3 linked regions of the Nothobranchius furzeri genome follow. The protein of the gene in region 1 interacts with the protein of each later gene in a biochemical or structural test. Links are inferred from orthologs where the notes say so. Each region holds a gene or a part of one and is shown on either strand. Other genes may lie near its edges.

The links. The genes of interacting proteins can lie anywhere in the genome.
Region 2: the proteins of fgfr2 (region 1) and lrrk1 form a complex in vitro, tested with the Homo sapiens proteins (2 studies listed by BioGRID and IntAct, with this or other methods). The link is inferred for Nothobranchius furzeri from reciprocal best matches to the Homo sapiens genes FGFR2 and LRRK1.
Region 3: the proteins of fgfr2 (region 1) and fgf7 form a complex in vitro, tested with the Homo sapiens proteins (3 studies listed by BioGRID). The link is inferred for Nothobranchius furzeri from reciprocal best matches to the Homo sapiens genes FGFR2 and FGF7.

The regions. Positions count from the first base shown.
Region 1 is NC_091752.1:4,206,679-4,213,369, forward strand, and holds the start of fgfr2 (fibroblast growth factor receptor 2), read left to right. Parts: upstream 1-2,686; 5' UTR 2,687-2,922; intron 2,923-4,165; exon of another isoform or gene 4,166-4,186; intron 4,187-4,289; 5' UTR 4,290-4,364; coding exon 4,365-4,545; intron 4,546-6,691. UniProt on the Homo sapiens protein: Tyrosine-protein kinase that acts as a cell-surface receptor for fibroblast growth factors and plays an essential role in the regulation of cell proliferation, differentiation, migration and apoptosis, and in the regulation of embryonic development.
Region 2 is NC_091749.1:7,380,207-7,386,106, reverse strand, and holds part of lrrk1 (leucine-rich repeat serine/threonine-protein kinase 1), read right to left. Parts: intron 2,579-5,900; coding exon 2,461-2,578; intron 2,363-2,460; coding exon 2,246-2,362; intron 1-2,245.
Region 3 is NC_091749.1:43,170,524-43,175,118, reverse strand, and holds part of fgf7 (fibroblast growth factor 7), read right to left. Parts: intron 2,169-4,595; coding exon 2,062-2,168; intron 1,967-2,061; coding exon 1,754-1,966; 3' UTR 1-1,753. UniProt on the Homo sapiens protein: Plays an important role in the regulation of embryonic development, cell proliferation and cell differentiation. Required for normal branching morphogenesis. Growth factor active on keratinocytes.

The DNA.
Region 1 (6,691 bases):
ACTAGAGACCACTGCAAACGTTTTAAAAGTATGATTTTAGGGCCAGAATGTATTTGATGAGAATATGAACGAGTTAGGGTTCCCTCCTTGTTCCAGACCCTGGGACCGATCTCTGAATAAACTGCAAGGAACCAACAAGAACCTGCAGATGGGGATTCAGGATCAGGAATACCACCTTAAATGAAGAATTTCTGAAAGCATCATAATTCTTAGTGCACATGGATTTCATAAACATGAGCGCCTTAAAGACATTTAATGTTTTCTATGGGTCGGTTTTGCGTTTCACTCAGTTTTACACACGAAAGTGCTGCTTTGGCCACGGGGAGGCGCTGTTTGACGTCTGACAGATCCGGAGTCGCGCTGTGTGTGTGTGTGTGTGTGTGTGTGTGTGTGTGTGTGTGTGTGTGTGTGTGTGTGTGTGTGTGTGTGTGTGTGTGTGTGTGTGTGTGTGTGTGTGTGTGTGTCAGTGGCGGTTCGACATGGAATTACTCCCTGGGCGAGGCCCCCTTTGAGCGCCCCCCCAACCGCCCCCACCACCACCACCACCACACCACCCCACCTGCACGAACACACACGTTTTCTACAAACAGGCATGTTTTATTAGAACGACTACTGAACATTCATTTTTCTAAGTTGCACATATTTACATTAATTACTATGAAGTTGTCAGAATGTAAAGCAATATACATTATGTACTGTATCAAAATATATAGAATCAAATATACAAAAACAACTAAACTAACTAAATATTAAGAATATATGCACATAATATATAATAAATATTCTAAATAGCAAAAATATTTCACACATAACAAACTAAAGATAATCACTACAGCATTGCACTTACAACAGAAAACACAAACTAAAATTAAAACCTAACCTTGATGCAAAGTCATCAATAATGTCATCATATGAAATCTGCTCCCCTACTGAGTGATTGATACTAATCAGAGCCAGGTTAGTGAGCCGCCCCTGAAATATAGGTGACCTCAGGTATGACGATCAAGTTTTGAAAAGCTCCTCTCAGCTTGAGCCACAGTGACTGGCAGAGCAGTCCAAAAGTTGGGGTAGATCTCCAATAGATCTTTATCATGATCCATAATATTTTACAATTGCCTCTGAAATTGTAATTTAAACTGACATAAAAAAAAACTGTAGACTACCAAAAATGCCAACTTTTACAGAACAAACCAGGTAAAAAATAATCAGTGCAGCCATCTGCAATAAATAAACAGGATAGTTAGTGGTGACTGGGGTGTTTTCTTCTGCTTGTAGAGTTGATTTATTTATTATTATGTGAACTTGATCAACATGTGTTTGTTGTTGTTCATGCAGGCCACAGGCTACAGCGAGCATTTAACAAATCCTAGTTTGAATCAGTAAAAAACGATTCAAGGAATTTATTCGAACCATTTGAATATTCGTTTCAATATTTCAGCCCTATTAGCTCTGTTAGCAACTAGTTGACAGAATTTAACCGTTAAAATCCCAGTTAACTGGTTCAAAAAATTGAAAACATTCATCATGAGAGCGAACATACCTTTATCTTTATCCTCTTTTTTTCTTTTTTATTCCTGAATCGGGCACCTGTTGGTTTTAGCCTTTTTATATTCATCTCTTCTGTTTGGCTCTTGACTCAATAAGTTTCCTTTAGTCAGGACTAAACAATTTGACCTTGATGGGGGGGTGACCACAAAATCGTTTTGTTTTTCCTTTTTTTATTCGGCCATTTCACACAATTCAGAAACACCTGAAAGAATGATAGGCCTGTGTTTATGATATTATGAATGAAATGTGGAAGAACATCAAGATGTGATCGACTTTAGCCATGTTGATACAGTTGATTCAGCCCCTACCCTCTCAATTCATTTGGACCCACCAGAGGTGAATTCCCCCGCCGCACCCCTCCCCTTCCTCTTCTTCATACACACACACGGTGCACGGAGCGCCTGCAGCTGCAGGGGGCGCCAACTTGCTGTTTCCAATCCAGACACTGTCATATGACAGATAATAGAAAACCTCGGTGAGGCGCAGATTTCCTTTTTTTTTTTTTACTCAGCGCTTGTGCGCCCCTTTTGTGTCATGAAAAAATGCCGCCCCGGGCAACTGCCCTGTCTGCCCGTGCCTAAAACCGCTACTGGTGTGTGTGTGTGTGTCCGCAGCGTAATGGGCGGAGGAAGGCTGGGCCCAAAGGCACTGCGGCCAGAGAGCGGCTCAAATTACATTCAGGAGGTGCTCGAGAGTAGGGAGGAAGGGGGAGTGACACCCTCAGATGGAAGGCGGAGGGCGGTGTGTGTGCGAGTGTGTGTGTGTGTGTGTGTGTGTGTGTGAGAGAGAGAGAGAGAGAGAGAGAGAGAGAGAGAGAGGAAAAAATCTAGTAAACCTGACAAAGAGTTGGAGAAAACAGTCCGGACTGTCGGAGGTAGAGGAGACTGGGACGCGCGAGGCGCAGCGCAGCGCAGAGACGCACACTGATGGATTTTAGGACATTCCGCCTGGGACAGCCTTCAGCCTCCTGCCACGTCCTTTAGCGCCAGAAAACTTTATGTCCAGTTGACAAGTGCGCTAATCGGGAGCTCTGGACATGTTCTGCGCTCTGGGAGAAACTTGGTGACGGAGAGGAGCGGTTCTGAAGGGAGAAGCAGCGGCTTGGGTTTCTGCGCTGTTTTCGAAGGATAACTCTGGACTCGGATTTCTGCGCGTGACTTTGGACCACGGTGCCGCTCGGTTTTGGAATATAAACACTTCTGATCAGAGTCGATGTCTGCTTATTTTGGAAGCTGGAAAAACAGGACAGCGCCTCTCCAAACATTTTTCCTGCATTGCGTTGGAGACATTCTTCTCCCTGGATTCACCTCATGCACTCTCCTCGCGTATCCGTGCATGCCTAAACACAGACCTCCACGATTTTAGTCCGCACTGGTAAGCGCTGTCTGCTCAACCCGGAGTATTGTGCGTAAAGCTGGAAAAAAGTTCATTCATTTGATTTACATTTCTTTAAAATCTGTAACGTGATGAAACTCGCTGGATTCTCTGAAATGCGCGCTTTTGTGTCCTTTTCTGCACCTTTTCTGCAGAACTAAAGAAAAACAACGATCATTTTTTATATAATTAATAAGTCTGAGGAGGAGGTCCACAACACCTTGCATCATCACTTTAGGATTCCATTCGCATAGTCCTGGTTATTTATTACTTTGCTTCATTTTCTAACTTTGCATTTAAGGTGCCAATTACCCTGTGGCCGCCGTTGTTTTTCCAACGCTCGGTGCCGGAGCCCTAAATCACAGAGAAACTCCAAAACGAGCCCCCACTGTCGGGTAACAGCCAGCTGATTTGAATTTCAATAGGAATTCAGGCAGAGCCAAGAAATTTCATTCAAGGGTCGGGTTTAAATGAAGACAGTGGTGCTTGTTTGGAGCAAAAGTTGCACAGGTTCCGCAGTGGAGAGCGCATTTCTGTGGTTTTGTGATTTATTTGCCGAGTTTTTGCTGCAGAATAATTTAGATTTGGCTTAAAAACACAAAATCCGAGCAGTTTCAATTGTTTTGCACAAGTTTTATTAACTCGTTTGATTACGGGCTCTTCACCTATTTGCGCAAAAGTCAAGGATTTATTCAGGTTACAGGTTAGTCAGATGATCTGGTTTCTCTTCAAAAGGAGAGGGAATCAGATTAAAGTTCACTTCTTTAAACTACGTTCTCTAAATTTCTCCTTACGTGTCTCGTTTGTGAGTAAACCTAATCGATACGTCCAGCTGGAACGGAGCGTGGAAGCGTGACTTCAGCAAAAACCCTCAAGAGACGCGGAACCGCAGATGTCTGGCTAAACAGGCAGACGTGTGTGTGTGTGTGTGTGTGTGTGTGTGTGTGTGTGTGTGTGTGTGTGTGTGTGTGTGTGTGTGTGTGTGTGTGAGTGAGTGAGTGAGTGAGTGAGTGAGTGAGTGAGTGAAACTGGTCTCATTAACAAATCACTGGAGTGCAATTAATTAAATGATGATTATAAGGTTGCGCGCGTCTGGAGCAGGATTTACGCATCTGTTGCGCTGCGCAATTTGATGCCATTGAGGCTGATTTAAAGCCCTCCGCCCTCATCAGTTTGGAACATCTTCCTGTTTTTATGCACCTAAGAGGACTTGTTGAGGTGGGGAAGGTGATAACGAGTGTTTCTCTGGTGCTTCAGAGCGTCGGTACGTCTGTGGTCTGGCTTGTTTGGCAGGATTGTTAAACTTTGTAAAAATTAAACGAAAACCACGATTTGTTTGTCTAACTTTTCTCTCCAATCCTTCACAGTCCAGGTGACTGGGTGAATTCCAGTGAGTGACAGCCTAATCCAGCAGCAGTTGATGGTTGGGCCGAGCCCCTCAGATGGGATCAGTGTCCAGGGGGAGGTGGAGAAGGGGGGCATGGGGAGCTCTCACCCCCTCTAACGGGATGGCCTTGTGGGTCTGGTTGCTGGCCTCCGTCCTGCTGTCCCTTCTGACTGTCAGCGTGGCCCGGCCGCCTCTCACCGCCACCAAAGTGGAGGAGGCAACCCTAGAGCCTGAAGGTAAGCAGCAGGAGGATGAGGAGGAGCAGATGAGCCGTGATGGAGATGGGGTGGAAATGACACATGGTGGGGTTGTATGTCATTTTAGTGATAAAAGCTTCATTTAGCTTCAGAAAACTGATTTATTTATGTTCAAACTTCAAGAAAATCCAGTAAATTGGTGGAAAATATTTAAGCAAAAAAAAAAAAACAAAAAAAAAAACAAGCTCACTCAAAATTGGGGGGAGTGAAGCGAGGGTGGGGGTAAAACAAACAAGTGAGTGGAAAATAATTGACCTGAATGTAGCGAGGTGTGATTTTCCTCACAGAGAAGCGATTCACACCGTTTCGTTTTCCTTCACTGGTGTGTGTGTGTGTGTGTGTGTGTGTGTGTGTGTGTGTGTGTCCTGGCGTCACGTTGCCCCTCCTCGCCTGCAGAGCAGAAAATGAAGAGAAAACCAAAATCCGATTAAAAATCTTTTATTGCTTTTCTTTTGTTAGGAAGAAAAAAATCTTTAAGTATTTTTTAGCTTTTTTCCCAGAAAACCTCAAATTTTCTTCATGCTTCTGCTTTTCGGACGAGTTCATAGCTGTTGTGACGATGCTGAACCACATTCCTCTGCTCTTTGTTCTTTAATCAGGAGGGTAATTTAAAGTTAGCCTGAGAGCATCACACACACACACACACACACACACACACACACACACACACACACACACACACACACACACACACACACACACACACACACACACACACACACACACACACACACACACACACACACCACACACACACTGTACCCTGCAGTCGTCCTTTGCCCCTGGGGTCACGAACTACCCCGGCCCGCCGTGATGAGAGGCTGCCTGGGCCTCGGCGCTCCTCTCTTGTCCTGTTTTTCCGACTCAGACGGTTTGGCTCCCAGCCGCTGAGCCTGGCGTTCCACACACGGATAAAGAAGACGAGGACTTTTTCAGAGTTACACAATCCCTCCAGGAACGCTCTAAGAGGATCTTGGCACGTTTGACTTCTGTAGGTGGAGAGATTACAGAGAACTGCTCAACGGTGAAGTCATGTGACTACAGGGTGGGTAAGGAGGGGGTCATCACATGATGAAGAACCTCCATAAATCAGAGAGAGGTCAGATGTTCTGACTTGTGCGGCGCTGATGGAGATGTTCAGACCCCCCCCCCCCCACCTGGGCCTGTGGGAGCTGAAACCCTGCAGAAACACCAGGCTGCATATCAGTGTGGCCTCTTTAGGGCCCACGCCTGCCCCCCTGGTGGCCCTGGCTGGTTTGTTTACCTGCTGCTGCTGTAACAGAAGACGTGGAGCGAGCGCTGGTTCAAGCCTCCACAACAGTCCCATTGTTGCCGCTCCGGCATCTACGGGAGTGTTTACCTTGTTCAGGCGCTCTCTGTTTGCACAGCGATTAAAACACACAGACACAGCTGAATAACAATGGCACCAGCTCTCCAAAGGTGTGAGCGTTTTGGGCATTTTCCGTCCCGTGGCACGTTCAGGGACTCCGAGTTTTGTTTTTGCTCGTAGTGTGGAGGAAATGTGCACACTGGAGCGAGAGCAGCTGACAAAAGTCAGCTCATGGCTTGGCTTTGCGCCTCGAGTTTTCTGCCAAACTCTGTTCTTCTACAAAAAAATGCTCTGATCAGCATGGAGGCAGTTCTTCAAAATGCTTCAGCGGTTAAATAAATACAGACTCCATTATGGATGGACGACGAATCTTAGAGAGACACAGGAAAGGGACAGATGTCAACAATCCAGCTTCTGATGCTCTGCTGGCAGAAACCGGACCCTGAGTGGTTGTGTGTCTGTGGTCGTGGCTTTCTGCGCTGCAGGACTCCGGCTGCAAACGTGTCAGGAGGCCAGTTAATGACACAAAGTGTGCATCTGTAGTTTGATAATGGAACTGAACTCTATGTATGCAGGGTATCCATGGATGTAATTTTGGGGGGGGACAGGGGGGACATGTCCCCCCACTTTTTCCAAAGTCAAGTTTTGACCCCTGCACTTTTTACCATCCAAAAACAATATTACGCTATATTAAATTGACACTGGTTGAGCTCTAGGACCAAGCAGAAAACAACCGTTTGTGTTGAAGCCGGTTTCCCATTAGAACATACTGTAAAGATACGCCCCCCCCGCCCC
Region 2 (5,900 bases), on another chromosome or scaffold:
ACTCTAAACACCTGCAAAAGATTCCAGAGGCTTTTAAAAACTCCCAGCCTGGTTCATTACTCAAAACCACAATCATGGGTAAGACTGCCGACCTGACTGCTGTCCAGAAGGCCATCATTGACACCCTCAAGGAAGAGGGTAAGACACAGAAAGAAATTTCTGAATGAATAGGCTGTTCCCAGAGTGCTGTATCAAGGCACCTCAGTGGGAAGTCTGTGGGAAGGAAAAAGTGTGGCAGAAAGCGCTGCACAACGAGAAGAGGTGACCGGATCCTGAGGAAGATTGTGGACAAGGACCGATTCCAGTCCTTGGGGGACCTGCGGAAGCAGTGGATGGAGTCTGGAGTAGAAACATCCAGAGCCACCGTGTACAGGCGTGTGCAGGAAATGGGCTACAGGTGCCGCATTCCCCAGGTCTAGCCACTTTTGAACCAGAAACAGCAGCAGAAGCACCTGACCTGGGCTACAGAGAAGCAACACTGGACTGTTGCTCAGTGGTCCAAAGTACTTTTTTCGGATGAAAGCAAATTTTGCATGTCTTTCTGAAATCAAGGTGCCAGAGTCTGGAGGAAGACTGGGCAGAGGGAAATGCCAACATGCCTGAAGTCCAGTGTCAAGTACCCACAGTCAGTGATGGTCTGGGGTGCCATGTCAGCTGCTGGTGTTGGTCCACTGTGTTTTATCAAGGGCAGGGTCAATGCAGCAGCTATCAGGAGATTTTGGAGCACTTCATGCTTCCATCTGCTGAAAAGCTTTATGGAGATGAAGATTTCATTTTTCAGCATGACCTGGCACCTGCTCACAGTGCCAAAACCACTGGTAAATGGTTTACTGACCATGGTATTACTGGGCTCAATTGGCCTGCCAACTCTCCTGACCTGAACCCCGTAGAGACTCTGTGGGATATTGTGAAGAGAAAGTTGAGAGACGCAAGACCCAACACTCTGGATGAGCTTAAGGCTGCTATCGAAGCATCCTGGGCCTCCATAACACCTCAGCAGTACCACAGGCTGATTGCCTCCATGCCACGCCGCACTGAAGCAGTCATTTCTGCAAAAGGACTCCCGACCAAGTATTGAGTGCATAACTGAACATAATTATTTGAAGGTTGACTTTTTTGTATTAAAAACACTTTTCTTTTATTGGTCGGATGAAATATGCTATTTTTAGAGGAATTTTGGGTTTTCATGAGCTGTATGCCAAAATCATCAATATTAGAAACAATAAAAGGCTTGAACTACTTCAGTTGTGTGTAATGAATCTAAACTATATGAAAGTCTAATGTTTATCAGTGCATTGCAGACAATAATGAACTTTATCACAATATGCTAATTTTTTGAGAAGTACCTGCATAAGTTCAATGTATTACTATTATTATTATTGTTATTATTATTATTATTAAAAAACTCACCCCCACATCACTCCCACACCAACCATCACATCCTGCAGGGCAAAGTCAATGACCCTGTTTCATTGCTATGTTTATTTATTTGGCAGACACTTTTATCCTTAGCAACGTACAATTTATAACCTATAGGGGATGTTGTGATCTGTGAGGGGAACCGGAGTGCCCGGAGGAAACCCACGCGTGTGTGGAGAGAACAGGCAACTCCACGCAGAAAGACCGCAGCCAGGTTTCAAACCTGTAACCTTCTTGCTGCGACAGTGCTAACCATTACGCCACTATGCAGCCCATGTGATGAACAGGTCAAAGGAGCCCACAGATTGATCTGACGTGGAGGCAGAGGCTGTCTCAAGTGTAACAAAATTTTTCTATACTGGTTAAGGCAAAGGATAGTTTTCTCAGCAATACGTAGGGCAGTCAGGACCACATGAATCGAATTAAGGGGATGTCATTCAAGTTTCCCAGCAAGAAAAGTAAAGGGGAAGTTATACTTTGACCAGTCTTCACATACTTGGCACCAGAATCCCTGAGCCAGTGGACAAGACCACGTGCATGAACATAATTGTCAGGAGTGTTGTCTGTGTATTGCTTACAGGTGTCAGACAGTGCAAACCTTATCCTGAACATCCACTGACTTGTATATTGTACTCTGTGGAGAATTTTGCACTGGACTGATTGTAATTTAGGCTTCCTGGTCATACTAATATAATATAATATAATTTCTAATACTACCAATATCGTTACTATGATCATCCAGAGGACTCAAGACTAGCATGTCTCCTCAACACATTGATATATTGAGACAAAGACCTGAACAGAGTTAGTTGAGAGGCAGACTCACCTGTGCTCGTGCTGGAACATAGAACAGACATGTGATCACAGCCGGACAAGAGAACTGCTTTTGGGGTTGACTTAGTGGACACATGTCCTTCAGACTGTAGATGAACATCTCTTGTTCCTTTTACAAAGTTACAAAGAGCAGTTCTTATACAAACTAATTTATTAACTCAAAGACAGCATTAGTTTTCTGTATTTTAGTGTGGGCAGGTGGCATACCTCAGTGGACATCCACAGGGTGTTTTGGATCTTCATTTGGCAACTGATCCTGCTGCCTGGACAGGACATCCTCTTCACCTCCATTTGGCCGTTCTCCACATTCACAACACTGTAGGTCCTAAACAACCCACAGAACATCATCAGGAAAAAAATAATCAACCAATTAGTAAACTAGTTATTCATTCTTTTATTCTAAATGCAGGTAATGTCTGGAACCATTTTGAGCAGGATGTTTCACAGGGTAGCTATATGAAGGGATTTCAAAAATACATTTAATACCTTTTAATACGTTTTAAGACCTTCTAAAATAAAATTAAGATAATTCAATTCAGTTTATTTATATAGTGCTAAATCACAACAAGAGTCGTCTCAAGGACCTTCCCACAGTAAACATTCCAATACAGGTCAGTTCATTAAGCCAATCAGTAAAAAGTTTCCTATATAAGGAACCCAGCAGGTTGCATCAAGTCACTGACTAGAGTCAGAGTCTTTACAGCAATCCTCATACTAAGGCCCTGTCCACACGTAGCCGGGGATCTGCCAAAACGTAGGTATTTTTCTACGTTTTGGCCTGTCATTCACATGAAAACTGAGTTTTTTTCACACGAAAACGGATCTTTTTAAAAACTCCGGCCAAAGTGAAGATCTGCGTTTTCTCCGTTTTGGGTGTCTGCGTGTGGACGGACAAAACCAGAGTTTTAAGGTCCGCAACGTCACTTTCCGCGACAAAAAAATGCTGACATCACGTGTGCGACCTGTGTTTACACTAGCCGACAGCATGGATGCCCTCAGAGCTGCGCTCGCTTTATCAATTGTCCAAGCGCTTTTTGCTTGTTTGTTTTTGCAAGCGGAATTACTGCTCCTTGCGGAAGACCACAGACGAAGGACGAGGTTAAGAACGGGGGAAGTACTGCCGCCTACAGGTCTGGCATGTCCTTAACAACGTATTTATCCGGGTACGTGTGGACAGTTTTTTTTTTAAACGAGGTGGTGTGGATGCAAGTTTTTGGAGGGGCGGATATTCGTTTTTAAAAAAAAACCCGGCTACGTGTGGACTAGGCCTAAGCAAGCATGCAGCAATAGTGGAGAGGAAAACTCCCTTTTAACAAGAAGAAACCTCCAGAGGATCCTGGCTCAGTATAAGCAGCCATCCATCAAGTAGATGGGAGCAATTCCATACAGAAATTTAAATTCAGTGACTTGAATTTGATGCAGGCAGCAAACGGTAAGTTGATGGAGCTCAATGATCAGAAGGGTGACTAGTGCTCTTTCAGGCTCACCGAAGACCAGAGTTACCAAAGTGTTCAGGACAATCTGCAGATGCTTCACTGTCCAAGCTGGGAGATCAGTTAGAGGGGTATTACAGTAGTCATGGTTAGAGATGGCCATGTTGCGGTAGGTATGGTCCATCTTTCGTGTGTTAAACAATCCAAAATGACATGATCAAGTCATAGACGCAACTTGATCTTCAAAGGTCACCTGGTTATCAATCATGACCCCCAAATTTCTAGCCAACTTTGAGATTCAATTCAATAATTTTATTTCACTCAAAATTTTAATATACAAACTTCAAATCAGAATACAATTGCCAACCAGAATATAAGCATTCGAGTGAAATAGGGGGAGGAAGAAGAAAAAAATTGTATATGACCTACCCCCTTTAACGAAGACAAGATAAATTACAAAAAGTACAAAATGGCCTTATACACAAAAAATAAACCGCTCTCTTTCTTCCACAAATAATATCAATACTAAAACATTAATCCCCCATCCTTAACTCGCCAAATCATACGATTTTAGCATTTTATCTTTATACATTTTTTTTAATTGACCAGTATTTGTACATTTTTTTAATTCATCATCCAGGTTATTCCATAATTTCACACCAAATATTGAAATACACATTTGCTTTAATGTAGTATGAACAAATATCCTTTTAAACACTGGTTTCTTTCTACTCTTATCATTTTTTGGGATCAAAACAAAGAACCTTTGTAGATTAGTTGGCAGTAAATTATTTCTAGCCTTAAACATAATTAGTACAAATTTCAAGTTAACTAAGTCTTTGAATTTCATAATTTTAGATCATATATTAATATAAAAAATAAAATATTTGTTAGTATGTTCTCTCGGATTTGCGTTATATAGAATTCGCAAAACTATATATAGATATAGAAACAGAAGTAATCAACGTATGTGATATTATCGGGCTGTTTGGTTGGTTTGGCTGGAAAGAGAAGCAGTCCAGTTTCAGAAAGGCTGTGGAGGTGGTGGGTAAATACATGGAGCAGTATAAGTATGGACTTGGCTGTCACTCTGGCTTCTTTTAAGGCTTTTGTCACAGCCAACAGAGATATTTTAAGCCTGATTTATACTTCACCGCGTTGGAGACGCACACGGAGTGTCGGAAAGGTTTTATATGCAAACAGGCAGTGGAGCGTTGCAAAACAATTCCCCGCCAGGACAACAGAGGGCGTAGCACTTTTCTGTGATATCCTGCCACCATAACACTCATGTATCCGGTTCACAATAGTGTATTCACTAATGTGTTTATTTATTTCAGAGACTCCTCCACCTCTTCATGCAGTCGCCACCTCTAAACCCACGTTTCCCATCATTTCCGTCCGCATTTGCTCCGTATTATGTACTCCTTCACTCACGGGTGAATAAACATTTATACAGTATTTTCAAAGTTTTTCGGTAATGTGTTCTTCAATCTGTTCTGGGTCTGCCGCTAAATATCTTCTTACTTTTTAATGGGGCAATGGCGGTGCTGGTGACGAACATACAGGAAGCAGCGTCCTGACCAATCACAAGCTTGCGGCCTCCGTCACTTTCGACGGGTGTTTAAAAAATTTTGGGCATGTCTCCATCACCCTCTGTGAGCCTGTCGGAGAGCTCTTGCACCAACGCATAATGGCGTTACGCATCTAAGACTATAAAGTATAAATGAGGCTTTTGTGGAATGGCATTTTTGAGATTATTTTGGGTCAAAGAGGTTTGTTTATGAGAGTCCTTCAGATAGCAACGGTAGGAGTGAGACAAGTTCACAGTTCTCTATGAGTTGGAGGGAGGGCAGCTTTCTTGTGCAGTGGTAAAACACGGGAATACTTAAGTGAGGTAGGAAATGTACCAAATGTTAATACAGCATAAATCACATGACTGGCTGCTACAGTTACCATAGAAAACTGTTCCAAATGGCAGTGGGACAGCTATATGTGAAACATTTTATTTATTTATTGTTTTACTGTGTCCTGTCCAGCTGTGAAGCGATCAGAATTAATGTCTGAATGCTGAAGACAAGCCTTACAGTTTTCTCTCACAGGTGGAGCGTTATCATCATCATCATCAACCTTTACTTATAAAACACATTAAACAATCTTTTAGTCTTTATGAAATGTATATTTATTCAGAGGTCCCTACTTTATTTTGACTAATTA
Region 3 (4,595 bases), on another chromosome or scaffold:
TCGGCTTCTCCTCCACCCCGCTGGGAACATGCAGCCTTGAATCTGAAATGTGTTTACATTTTGAGCATGTTACAAATTATCTGCTAAGACTAACTTTGCGTGACTTGGCAGAAGCCTTCACCTTACTCAGATGTTGTTTGGGTCAATCGTATTTCATAGGTTTGCTCTCCCGATTCCACCGTCTTGATCTGACAGGGGTTCTCCAAGCCAGATGTGAACTCAGGCCAAAGGTTCTTCGTGTTCGTCATGTTCGTGGTTTTCTTTTGGAGAATACACACTTGTGTTTATATAAGTGTGTGTGCATGTTCTGGCAGACTGCCAGCACATCTTCTATTGTTTTATTTTTTCTTTCTATTTAAGAGGTCCCCTTTTTTACGTTACTGCTGTGACTAGAGCAGTGAACCTTCTGTTGTCAAGTAGAGAGTTTGCCATCAATCTGCAGTGTTTGCCTTTGAGTGAAACTGCATCATCTTAAATATTCAGGAAACAATAAATAATCGTCTGGGCAAAACTTTAAGGTAAACATGAGATGCTGTAGTTGTTTCTCTGCAGGCTTAGATTATGAAGATCAGACGGTATGATGTGTTTGAATAATCTTAATTTGATCAAAAATAAACAGAATAAACTACATGTAAACTATGTGCACATGCATGTTCAAGTTCCTCCAATGCTTGTAATGTCATGGTTCTAATACTGGCAGGATAAAGATGTGGTTCATTACATGGTGATGTAGGCAAAGAAACCGTGAAAAATATCTAATACATTTTTGTTAACCAGATGAACTCTATAAGCATATAGAAATTAATTTATTTATAGGTCTTTTATACCCTCTAGTGGAGAAAACAACAGGAAATCAGTCCATAAGACCTTATCCAGGTGGAACGACACACCGTAAAAAGGTACTTTTTATACATTTGCTTTAAATAAAGAAATAAAAGTGATGATTAATGATAAAGTCCTACAATGTAAAGCTTAAACAATGTTTCTGAAATTAATTTTCACTCATTTTCTGATTAAATAAAGGCATCTCTCATGGTAAAATGGGAATGTCTAAACAGAAAGCGAAGAAAGTATCTTTACAAATAAATATGCAGTCTTTTGGTGTACAGGAGTATTAGCTCTGAAAAAGAGGATATAGCTCACACACGTTGCTTACGTTGTGTTTTAGTCTGGATGTCAGCAGCAGCAAAATACTTTAGCATTTCAAATTAACACTTTAATAAAGAAAAGGGAGTCACTGAGCAGCTACAGTGCATTTGACCAGAGTCAATGCAGGAAGGACAGATCACACACACACACACACACACACACACACACACACACACACACACACACACACACACACACACACACACACACACACACACACACACACCAGTCTTTCTTGTTTTACTGCGTGTTATTTTGATCTAGTCCACATTCTGTACAATGATCAAAGACAAGTCCAGCTTGCTTCAGCACTTCTTGTTTGAATCAAAAGTCCGACCCGGTTCTTTACAGGTCTCCTCCTCTGGTCTCACACGGATGATCCTTGCAAATAATTACATCATTGACTGAACTTTCACTGTAGGTTTGCTGAGATTTCTATGAATTTGAGCTTTGGTGTCTTCCTTACCTGAGTGTCCAGGTTTGCTGTTTAGAAAGTACACAGTCGGAGGTTGGAGCGAGATGTTTGTGATGAAGCTACATGTGTATTGAGATATACGATATAAATGTGAATGAAGTCCTTCACTTTTTAAGTCCTTAGCCCCTTTTACTCCACTCTCCTCTCCTCCTCCTTGCATTTCATCGGGATGAAGTGAGATGCCACATTCTCCCTCCTGGTCCGGTTCCCCCGCTGTGGCATTCCCTTCTGAGACAGCGTTATGTACATTTCATTTGTTTTGTTCCACTTCACAGAGGCGTATGCATTGAAGTAGTTTTCTAGGAAAAATTCCTTGAAGTTGCAATTTTCACTGTAGATCCTCTGTAATGAAAAACAAATGGTCAGTTCTTGGTCCTGATGATACTAAGAGATGTAGTAGGGCTACCTGACTGCATCGCCGCTGAACTCAGCCTTACCTTTCCTTTCAGCTTCCCGTTCTTGCTCATAGAGATGTAGTACTGGCTCTTGACACCTTTGATGGCCAGGATTCCTCCCTCGGACACAGTTCTGATCTCGAGGATGCCTGCCAGACGGTTCAGAAAATGAGACATGTTGCAGAACAGATAAGAAACTGTCACCCTCCATCCTGACCTCAACATTCATCTTCATTAACAAAGAAAAGGGAAGTTGCTGTGATGAATCAGTCAGTGGTCTCTCTGGCTCGGTTCAAGTCTTGTTAACTTGCCTGGGTGGCCGTTACGCAAACCATAACCTATGCCACTGGCACATATGGGAGACAGATTAGGCCTCCCTCCCATGGGACTGAGGAAACTACCTCCTTGCACGTGCTTTGCATGCCACAATTTAGATGTGCTCGTCAGATTTGTGAGAAGGTAAAAATGGCCAAGCTAGCTTTTTGGGGGGAATTATTTTTAAATTCTACTCAATATTTTTACACATAAATTATTAGAATACGTAGCATAGATTTTTTGCACTTGCGGTTTTTAAGTGTAATGTTTCAAAGCTGTAATTCATTTAAAGTTCAGTAAAAAGGGACCTTTTACATAGAAGGTATTTGCAATTTAGCACATCAGTATACTCACCTGGCTACTTTCTATGTAAATCCTTTCATCTATTATAATTGTAGGTTTTTATCTGTGTGTATGGTTTGTTCAGCACTTTGTTTGACCGCAGGCTGTGTGAGAGTGTTTAATAAATAAAGGTTGTGGCTGAAAATAAAGTAAAGAAATATAAAGTTTTGCTTTGTCTTTTTTGGTAGCATTGAGATGTTAGATTATAAATATTTAACGCTGAGACTCAAATTTCATTCTTAGATAAACATTATTTTATATCAAGAACAAAAATGAGATCCAGATGCCGGATGGGATTTTTTCTCTGTTCTTGATATAAAGCTTTGAATGCTTTTCTGTTTGAAAAATTCTTTCATTTGACAGGCAAAGGGAGAAAAAAAGAGCAATAGCTATTAAAACCTGTCAGAATGACAGTGAGCATGCACACACATCAGCGTTTGCCAGATTACAAACAGATGGTCATGTCCCAATCTGGGAATTTAGTGTGTGCTTTTCTTACACTTCATGTTGGACCAGATATTCTCCTCATCCTGCTTCTGTGATCTGCTGATTAAGTTTTGTTCATCAGGATTAAAGGTAAAATTCATTTAATTCCCTGATGCATTCAAAACCAGTCAACCATTTGTGTCCTTTATGTTTGGGGAAGCCAGAGATGTATGGATGAGCTTTCTTGTAGTAAAACTAATATTAGTTATTTTGTTCTCTGTGAAAACTCAAAACACAGGCCCAAACATACATTAAAAAACCTTTTCCCAGATTAAACAGATTTCCATCATTTGTCAGATAAATATTTATTCTAATTTCTCTGGAAAGTCTCACATTTACTGTTCTGAATTAAAGGCTTTGCCTTTTAGTTAGACACGAATAGTGTCTGAAAACATTGACTGATAAAAAGGTTTACACACTTTTTATTTCTAAAGATGTTTTAGAAAAGCTAGAAGTGTACACGTTTGAACTAACAGATCCTGATCTGCACCAAAATGTTATGTTTTCCTCCAACTCTTACACGGTTTGTAAAATATATCTCATCTTTAAAAAAAATCTTTTCTTTAAAACCTTTTTCTTATTAATGGACAGGCCTATATGGAAATGGCTGTGCGCTGCCTTCATGCTGCTTTGTATTCATTTTAATACCCTAAAAGTAAATTGTTAAAATTTTAAGACTATAATTTGTGTTTTACATAATAATTTAGCAATCTTAATTTAAATTAAACTGTTTTGTTTACTATAAAAGTTAATATCTATATTGTTACATTAACTTGTTTGCTTTAGAGGTCTATTTTTACATAAATGTAGATTGTAGTGTTATTAGTGATTATGTGGGCCCTTGTTTATAAGCCTATATAAGTATATAAACTTTGGCTTCTGGGAAGTCTTTCTTACTGAACTGTGCCTTCTGTGAATGTGTATTCCAGTGGGTCATGTGAAGAAATAATAAACAAATAAATAAATAAATAAATAAATAAATAAATGAATAAATGAATGAATAAAGTATATTCCTTAGTTTGGTCAAACAACATTGGTTCAAAAAATATATTTAATTTTTATAATATGACTCCCAAAATGACCAGCATTTTTTTTATTTTGAAAGGGAGAAAACTTTGAAAAAGAAAAGAAGTGAATAATTAAAAACATTTTCCAGATGTTTTGAGTTTTGATCCAAGAACAAATGTGTTGGAAAGGACCTCAGCTTTTTGTCACAGGAGCACAAGATTTTTCTTTTTTTCTTCCTTTAAAAGCTTATCTGTAATCAACTCATACTATTTGTCCACTGGAGTCAAAAATATGACATTCATTGTATAAACAACCACTTGGAGCTGACGTCGTCACCGGACCGTTGGTCGGACTCACTCTGCTAGTAGCGTGCACCTGTCAGCCACGTATGGGCGTATCAAATTTTCTGTCTGTCAGTGCCAGTT